Regions from separate parts of the Mus musculus genome. Here all the other regions are reported to be linked to region 3. The links are microRNA targets in miRTarBase. Many come from high-throughput screens and were not tested one by one. Region 3 holds a microRNA gene; each other region holds the end of a gene's coding sequence. Distances are from middle to middle.
The links. Region 3 holds the annotated microRNA mmu-miR-29c-3p (UAGCACCAUUUGAAAUCGGUUA, at 1,907-1,928, opposite strand). A microRNA usually pairs through its seed, bases 2 to 8, with sites in the 3' UTR of a target mRNA and lowers its output. Matches are read on the target gene's strand: a 7mer-m8 pairs with bases 2 to 8, a 7mer-A1 pairs with bases 2 to 7 and ends in A, and an 8mer does both.

Region 1: the mRNA of Fam126b is a reported target of mmu-miR-29c-3p. Seed matches in the 3' UTR shown: 7mer-m8 at 2,050-2,056.
Region 2: miRTarBase lists Zbtb5 as a target of mmu-miR-29c-3p. Seed matches in the 3' UTR shown: 8mer at 2,203-2,210, 7mer-m8 at 2,051-2,057, 7mer-m8 at 864-870 and 7mer-A1 at 500-506.

The regions. Positions count from the first base shown.
Region 1 is chr1:58,526,781-58,529,935 of GRCm38, forward strand. Fam126b (family with sequence similarity 126, member B) reads right to left here. Exons shown (of 13, transcript NM_001310598.1): 13 at 1-3,155. The coding sequence ends at 2,878. All of the region lies in intron 2 of Gm15834 (a long non-coding RNA gene), which reads left to right. Among named protein-coding and RNA genes, the nearest start is that of Gm15834, 23 kb to the left of the region's middle.
Region 2 is chr4:44,990,798-44,993,965 of GRCm38, forward strand. Zbtb5 (zinc finger and BTB domain containing 5) reads right to left here. Exons shown (of 2, transcript NM_173399.3): 2 at 445-3,168. The coding sequence ends at 2,573. Among named protein-coding and RNA genes, the nearest start is that of Grhpr, 11 kb to the left of the region's middle.
Region 3 is chr1:195,036,360-195,039,527 of GRCm38, reverse strand. Mir29c (microRNA 29c) reads right to left here and starts at 1,981; the gene lies at 1,894-1,981. It overlaps A330023F24Rik (RIKEN cDNA A330023F24 gene), which reads right to left. Exons shown (of 8, transcript NR_015566.2): 8 at 1,620-3,168. Mir29b-2 (microRNA 29b-2) reads right to left here and starts at 2,488; the gene lies at 2,408-2,488. It also overlaps a transcript of Cd46 not described here.

The DNA.
Region 1 (3,155 bases), 140 Mb from region 3:
CCTAGTACAGATGGCATCAATATAAGACAAATATTTTCCCCTAAATGCTTTTTTTCTACTAGTGCGATGAAGCTTCATGAAAGCTGAGAAATATTAAAGGGAAGTTATTAAAGGTTAAATTATGGACATTTCTAACTTTCTATGACATTTTTAACAGCTGCTGTATAACTGAACAAAAACCATTTTAAATTCAATGATGGTAACATAAAGTGGTTGAAATGATCATTAGAAAACTTGGTAGTTTGTCTAATTTTAATTCATTTCATTTTAACTGTTATCTTACACAGAAAATGTATTCTAAGACCCTTGCTATAAAGTGTAAATGAAGAACTTGTTCATTGAGACCAAATTATAGCCCAAAGAATATGAAGCAAATGTTTCAGGATTGTGAAATATTACTTGGGATGTATATACAAAGTCTACACATGCCAACAAAAAGATGAAAAAAACCTTTTTTTTTTTTTTTTTTTCTTTTCTGAGACAGGCCTTCTCTGTGTAGCCCTGGCTGTCCTAGAACTCCATCTGTAGACCAGGCCAGCCTTGAACTCAGAGATTCACCTGCTTCTGCCTCTGGAGTGCTGGGATTCAAGGTGTATGCCACCATTCCTGATTCTTAAACCAACTCTTCAGTTATGATGTTTCTAATCAAAAGATTTTTTCTCATATTTACAACAGTTTATGCTATACTTTCAAGTTATTTGGTATTCTCTTGTGCTTTATTTAAAATGCTTGGTTTAAATGCCAGTCTGTTACATGTGCGCCTGTGAGCTCCAGCATGAAGTAGGCGTGCTTTGCCATCTAAGACTGATACCTTCCTTATGCACCACAAAGCCTCTCTGTTCAGTAGGTTACAAAAACATTTTATTTTACTATTTTACAATTCTTTTTTCTTTTAAGTTTACTTGATATCTCTTAGTTAAATTAGTAGAAATAGGGCTAAAATGTGTCTGTGATAAATGGATACACATATCATACGCATATTATAAACAATCAATAGATCACATTTCAGCTTTTAGTTTTACTCCAAAGTTTGGCAATGATGTGGATAATAGCTGAGGTTCTAGTTCCCTATTTGCTGGGAGCTGAAAAATGTTATAAACTATCAAATCTAATTAAGGATTATTCTAACACAATGCAGACAGACAGATGGACAGATAGACAACTCCTCCAAAAATGGTGGTTTATGTATGAAAAAAAAAAGAGAGGCGTTTTCCTGGCTATTTAATTTATCAAATTTTACGGTAAATAGAGATAAAACAACTTTGTCAATTAAGAGGACACTTGCTTCCTATATAGGCAGTGTAATTTTCATTCACAATACATAAAATGTCTACATGTACAAGGGTGTGTGTAACTGATGTTCTTGAGATGGGTAATTCATAGCAATTGAAGTCACACAATACTGATTTTTAAAATCCTAATATATTCCCTTCTTTTTCAAACAAAGCCTGAGACCCAGAAGAGATTATAAGAAAGTCTTATCCAACCAAATCACAACAAAAATCCTTTAAACTAATAATGCATTTTTGTAGCCTCTTAGCAGTTACCAAATGCTACTCATTTACATTCAACATCTAGTTTACTGGCATGATTTCAACGTTTTATAAAAACGAGAAACTTTGCAGATAATCAGAAGATACACAAACTGCAATAAACACAAAGGCAGTGTGGTCCTTGTAGAGCAATCAAGTCAGTACCCTCTGGTAGAAATGTTCTATACAAATGTGTCACATAGAAGCATCAGTGTTTTCAACCAATCACCTGTCCCTGATGTGTTTCCTTGGAGTATATGATCTCAGGACTTTAGGTTTCTGTATCCCATATCTGACTGAATCTAGGTACATCTAGGAAGCAGCTGAAAGGGTTTCTCTAGTCTGATATCTCAGAGAGTGGACTGAGAAATCCCTCTCTTTACCTGAAGACGTACAGTGTCTACTTCAGTCATCACCAACTCACAAAGGAAAGGAAGAAAGAAAACAATTATAACTTCACCTCATTTACAATCTCACACAAACTAAACAAACAACACCCTTCCCCCAACAAAGCCCCAGCACCATAATATCAATCATTCCTGGGAAATAGAACACGCCCCTTTGAGTCTCTGATTTGTTAGTTCAAACTTTAAGGGCAGAAATGTCCTTAAGTCCTTGTGGGAGGAGGGAAGACCTGTTGTTAATGACTAGAGAGCCATTGAGAAAGTGCATTATCAATCACACAATCAACTTAGAGCCCTACCCTCCAATGGAGGTGGTCACAAATTGATTTAAATGCCTCAATAATTAAACATTTGTGTCCTTGGGATAAAGTAAGGGGGGCAGTTAGCCTCATTTTAATAAAAAAATTGCAGTAGTCTACCACTTTCCCCCATGCTTCCCAAGAATATAAAATTGCACAGGCTCAGAGAAGCCCAAAGTCATAGCAGAATCTCTGAGGCACTCCTGGTTAGAGAGAAAACATATGATCCAGTTATCTTCATAGTTCATAGATTATGTGAACAAACCCGTTTTGTTTTTAAACAAAAGCCAAAGAATCATTTCATAGGGATCTTATACACCATTTCCTCGACATCTCCTCAGTCTCACAGTGTTGAAATGGGACCGATCAGCCTACGATGGATTGCACATCACCCAAGGAGAAAGGAAGGCATGGAAAAGGCAAACGTTTTACACTGCTTCACAAACACATTTAAGGGAATAGGTAGAGAGGTTAAAAGAAAGGAAAGGAAAACCTTATTGCTGTTTCCATACAAAATACAGTATGAGATACCTAAGCTAAGTCAAATCTGATGACAGTGACATCTTTTCACAATGCGGGATGACGTGTCTTGCACAATGAAATGTTCAGTGTAGAAGGTTAGCAGAACAAGGGGCATCAGAACTACACCTGGGATATTAGCTGCATATTGAAACTTGGGGATCGAGACTGCTTGGTTAAGGGGGCTCCTGGGCTGAGGAGCTCTTTACCTTCACCAGCGTGACCTAGCCGGTCTTCTTGTAGACTGATAGTTGAATATCGATTAGCATTTGTAGCTGCTAGATTAGTAACTCCCTCAGTGCCAACCCCAATGCTGGTACTTGCTTGACCGCCATTTACATAGTCAAAAGATTTACTTGAGGAAGCACTGGCTGTCCGGATTAGACTCAGACTATTGGTTT
Region 2 (3,168 bases), not on the chromosome of region 3:
CCACCAAATTCCCTCCCTTTCCTCTCCCTGAGGAGGAACAACCATAACCAGAAAAACACAGGGCCTGAACCCAATACCGTAACCACGGCGAAAGAGCACACTACCAGGGGAGAAAACTGCAAGGGAGGAGGCAGCAGGTCAGCACAGTAGGTCAGCAGTAGTGACAGCAGGGTTCCCAGTTTTGATCCGTGTCTGTGTCTACCTGCTGCTCCCTCTGTGCTCCGGGTAGGTGCTCCTTTTAAATCCCCTTCACTCTCCCCAAGGCCAGGCTGTAAGCACCGCACTGCAGGACTTCCCACACAGCCACAGAGCGGGCACTGCAGAGAGGCAGGACTAACTCAAGGATGGAGCGGTCCTATCTTGGAGGCTCGAACTGCTGCAGTATAGTACAGAAGCGCATCCCTGCTCTGTTTCAACCCAAACGGAAGCAAAGGAGACCGTGTGTTTAGAGGCATGGATATGACAAAGTTTTAATTTTAAAATCTGTTTTGACCAGCGTTAGCACCTGAAAGGGTGCCCCTACACTTGATGCCACCTCCAAAAGATTGTACATGATTATGCCGGGCTAGAATTAAGGCTAAAAGTCAAAAGTCAGGTCCCCAGTCCCCGTTAGAATCCCTGTGAAACTCCAGGCTGCAGCGACCCTGGGCTCGTTTCCCAGGGACCCTTGGAAATCTTTAAGTGCTACGGCATGTCGGAGGACACTGGCCTCAAGCTTGCTTCTCACATGGAGAGACTGACTACAGAGGTAGATGAGATTCCAGGTCCACCCAGCAGCAGAGAGGCAGGCTCTGTTGAGCGCCAGGGACAGGCCCCAGAGCAAAGCCCACTTGTATCGAAGCCAAGGTGAGGGGCAGACTTGAAGCACCACGTCCCTAAGACAGAAAGGACAACTGCTAGTCTATGCCTGTGACATTGGCTCCTCATCCAGCAGGGCCGCTCTGGTTCTCCATGCTGACTCCCACTGGTCCTTATGAAGGTGATATAGACCCACCCCATCGTGTCTCAACAGGACTGCTGACCATCAGCCACACAACATCTTCTCAAGTGACTCCAGTGCCTTCAGTGGTCTTGCCCACAGCTGCTCAGCAGCAGGAGTCCAGCCTGCCATTCGGGCTTGCTTCCCTGGCAATCAGCTCAGATGTCATGCCTTCTCAGAGCATTACAGGTCAAGCCACAGATTCATGGTCACACCAGCTTAAGAGAAGACACATGCTCATTTTTGTTTTAGGATATACAGAAATATGTGGCTCTCTAAAGTTAATGAATTTCTCTGAATTGTGTACAATGGTTTGGTATCTCTGAAAAAAGTATGAAAAAAATTCTTGTCCATCTTTAGCTTACAGATATGCATGAAACTGTGCTATTCTCCTGGGTGCATGTCAGGATGCAGCAGCCCTGGCAGCATGGTTATCAGGGGACAGAGAACTGAATGCCACCCCGAGAATCTTGGGTGTTTTTGGTGAATTCTATGCTGTAGGCTGCCTGACTCTTCCAGAGCCTGTGAAGAACTGAGGAGACATGAACACTCCTACAGTTAAGTCTGATTCAACACTGAGTTAGAGGAGGGACACCACTGAACACTGAGGTGTAGCTGTGAGAGCGTATGCAACAGGAAGAAAACTACAGCAGCGCTGCTGTGGTTAGTCTAACTGGCTACGCCAGGAGAGGTGTTCTATGGCGCTTGGGAGTGAGACGTGACAAGGTCAAGGGCAGCTGATCTTGGGTGGCCTTGGGCATCCAGATGGCATGAAAGGCAAATGCGCCGTGAGAACCCATACACAGGACTCCGTATCACCAGAGGAAAGACGGACACTAGCTTCCCACTTACATCAAACAAGTACAGTATCAGAAATACACGTTGGTTAAAACCCTGCTAACACAGCACGAACAGAAACACCTCACTGTCACTCCTACAAGTACACACTCCATTACAACTTTAGTTCTTAAAACAAACAGAAAAGTTACTAAAAACACCTATGCCATAGAGATGTATTCGAAAGTCTATACACCTGTTAGTCCAAGGGCATATTTCCCTGGACTCAGTGTGAGCACCATCAGAGGGCAGTGCCTGTGACTGCAACTCAGATACAAATAAAAACTCCACAGGACTTTCAGAGGCCTGGGACTAGCTCAGGATACACTTTAAGCATCTGTGCCAGACATGCTTGTCCTCCAGGGCCTTTTTTTTTTTTTTCCAGATAGCACCAAGTCACCTGGTTACACACAGTATGTTCTGCATTGCTGTACAGGGATGGAATACTCCCATCACAGGATACAGGACATTTAATTAAATGCTTCACAGAGCTTTAAAATAGTGTTAAAATGTTTTCTGCACTTTCATTTTTAAATTTGATATTCTTAACAACAATGACAACCTACTTTAGGACTGCATTCCTCCACCCTAAGAAATGTGCAGGGTAAGTGCTACACCTAACAGTTCTCTGCTTACTCTTGGCTGAAATTCATGAGAGCCACTGGACAGTGAGACCGAGTCCAGTGACAAGAGCTGCCTGCCTACAGCGGTTTTAGTTTCAGTGCAGACTGGCCTGTGCGCTGTGGCGAGAAGCGATCAGAGCAGGGTGCTGGGGAGGTTGCTGCTCTGCCAGCGCAGGCAGGTCGTTTTCGAGTGTTTATATAGGTGGCTGGACTGACTGAACCGTTTGCCACACTTGAGGCAGGCGTACGGCTTTTCTCCTGTGTGGACCCGGATGTGTTTCTTGCAATCCGTCAGAGTCAGGAAGGTTTTACAGCAGATTTTGCAGGCATACTTTCGAGCTCCCTCCACAACCAAGACATTGTGCTCCGATAAGGCCTTCTTGCACTTTGACAAGACATCAGCAGATGCCCTGGTCAACTGAGGAGGGCCAGGCTGGGAGGTGTGGCCATTTTCAAATGAGGTGGCCCCGTTCATCATTAGCTGGGAACTGGCTGAATTTTCAGAGATCTGCGAGCTCCTGACAGAAGTTACCACTGGCATTTTTGGAGCTATTCGTCGGTAATATGGAAAGTTACTGGCCCCTCCTCGTGGGGAACCCATCATGGCCCTGGAGAAGGATGAGTGGAGACCCAAGCCAGACCTGGAAAAATCCATCCCGAATTGTTCTCCTTGGTAGCCTGAGGTCTGCACACAGGGCAGGCCCATCACCTCCTGCATAGGTCTGACGA
Region 3 (3,168 bases):
GCCACAGTAATGTGGTACTGAGGTAGAATGTGCCCCAGATCAAACACAGATTTATCTCCGGCTTCCCTTAAAAGTATGTTAATATCAATGTGCTATCTATTCCTGAGACTATATGCCAGCTTCCAAACAGAAGGCCTAGACCAACTTCTTAAAGATGCTAGGGACTAAACTTAATTCATTTGATCTACTAAACTGGTTGCAGATCTTTCTTCCCCCAGTTAACAAAAATACACTGTATTCACTTCTAAAAAGTCTGGTAAGGCTTAATTTTAAAAAACTAATGCTTTAACAAAAGTCTTTATACCTGGGTTGACAGCATGGTTTTATAAATCTGATTCAGGAGGGTGCTGTTAAAAAAAAACCTACATTACTAGCCAATTATGAAAAATTATCCCAGAGTGACAATTTTATGTAAAGGGCTATAAGCATCCAGATAAAAAATAACTGAGAGGTGTTCTGGTTTCAATTTGCTTCTCAGGACATCAGGATATGGCAAAGTTTAAGTATTCAATGAGAATATTATGATTTTTCTAAATGGAAATAAATTTTAAATCATTGTTTTTGTGCTTTGATATTAAATTCAACTTTCTAGCACTTAACTCATTAAAGAGCCAGAATCATGGCCTGGGGGAGTTTCAATCAAATTTTCAGTACAAATTAATTGGGAGCTTTGGACAGAGTAGCTATGTTTTTTTTTTTTTTAAAGACTTAATGTGTAGTTAATACCACAGACCCAATCTGTCATACTTAGAGGAGCTGCAGTCTCCTACTTTAGTGGGGTAAATTAAAAAATACAGCTGAGGGACTTAGCTATTCCTACCAGCACATCCTTAGATGTGACTTAGAACATGGATTCTTCAATCAAAGGCTTGAAATAGCTTTGCAGCTGCAGGATGCATCATAGTCGCTGGGAAGTCTTTCCAGCAAATTCTCCAACAGCCTCCCACTTCCAGCAAAATGGGCAAGGCAGCCATCTGGGGTAAGGCAACTGGGATGAAGGCTTAGAAGAAGCTTCCTGAGCAGCTGATTTGCCATTAGTTATTAAAACCTACTGGCTTGAAATAATTGTACTGCAGGTAGTTCATAGTTAGCTATGCAACTCCTATGGAAGGGGCCACCTGCTTTCTTCCTGAAAGTTCCCCAATCATGAACCCTGCCCCTCCACCACCCCCAATGCTGGCAAATCTCTGAACAGTTTTATAGAACTTTTTCACCGCCTACTGAAGGGTTGAAATAAACTATCAGTGGAAAGTAGAACTCCCTCTGCTACAAATACAACTGAAATTAGCCTGCTCCCCTTTAAGGGCCACATGACAGTGCAGTTAAGTAAGTTCCCTGCAGCAACTGACAGGAGGAGGGTCAGAGTCCACAGTTCCCTTGGAACCAAGAATAGTCTTCCCATTTAGTAACATCCCTCAGCCTAGAGCTCCAACCTTCTGTCTCTGCTAATCTTTCATCTTTAGAATTTCATTCCTGTCTTAATGACCTTCATTTTTAATGTCTGCATGCAGCAACCTACTTCCAATTCCTTATGATTGGCACAGCAAATTAACTTTCCAGGGACCACTTCTCATTGCCATAGAATTATGAATGAAAAATAGTAGATAAAACAGACATGATAGATTGAATGTAGCAAATTATTTATTAAAGCCAACGTTTAACAGTACTTAGTTTATAACAGTACTACATGTCAGAAATTGTAACTGAGAATATTTTACAACAATAAATTATAACAATTAAAACCCCCCACTAAGTGATCTCTAACCTTGGCAGCCACATACATACGAATTAAAGAAGTTAGGAAACTGTGATCTTCCTTTTCCACTCTGCCCACGTAGGAAGTGATAGGCTGATGCTGATGCTGACACCACAAGGTTCTGAGGCTGGTGCTCTTCCCCCTACATCATAACCGATTTCAAATGGTGCTAGACAAAAACAGACTCTGAACACCAGGAGAAATCGGTCAGCCTGTGTAAGAGATGGACCGACTGGTGGTGTTCTTCAGGTCTGAATCTCAAGGCAGGTGACAGTCTGATTTCAGCTGTGCTGCAACCAGGACTGAATGAGTGCTCCATGGATCTTCCAGGTTCAGACGAGCCATACTGATGTGAATGAAGCAGTCCTCCACATACAGAGCTCTTACCCCTTCCTTGCTACAATTAATGAACAGTGCAGGCCCAAGGAACCCTCTTCCACCCATGGAATGCTGAATAAAGTAGACCACTTCCTGATTATACCCTTATACATTCTGAACACAAAAACTTTCTCACTATCACTGCCTCTAAACCAAACAGACTCAAGAGCAAATGTCACTATTCAAGTCTTCCCTTGATTTCTCGAAGGAGAGAGCCAGTTCTGTGTACAGCTGTTCCTCTGTAGTCTACCCTCTGCTGTGCTGCAATTCTTACTCCTAAAACACTGATTTCAAATGGTGCTAGATACAAAGATGGAAAAATCTAAGCCACCATGTGAAACCAGCTTCCAGAAGAAGAGGATCTCACTGAAGAAAGCAGAGATGTGCAGTCAGAAGAACCAGCCTCAGCCCTGAGAATCATTTTGCCTGTCAGACGCAGATGACAGCCATACAGCCAACACTTTGAGCAGACAAAAACAATGCAAAGCTTGTTTCCTGTGTGACTTCACATTAGTCATTAGAAATCATCATACACAATGAAATAAAAGAACCAAATCCATTCAACATATGTACATTTGTAATGTCTTGAATTTATGTAATTTCCCAAGATGCATAGTGTCGGTAGATATGTCACTTGTTCAAGACAATGACAATGACCTATGAGATGTTAACAACTGAACCCAAGTAAGTCACCTGTGCCAGGACAACTCTTCCACAAGTATTATTCAAAAAGAGTATGTTCCTTCCTGCTCTCTATCCCATGACCCTGTAGGCTAGCAATTTGATTTAACCCCTAATGTCTTTTTAAAAGCTGGTATCTTAACACTGTATTATACAGATAACCCTCTAACACAAAACAAGGTATGTTTTAAAAATGTACCTAAAAATAAGATTCACAAGCTATGTTTCACATTGTACTGCATTTTTGCTGTATATTTCCTCTGATGTCACAACTGTCATCTTTGAAAGGAGACAAAGAGTAGAGCTGTATTTTTCAGGTTCCCCAGAAAAACTTTTTGGCTTCCAGATACAAG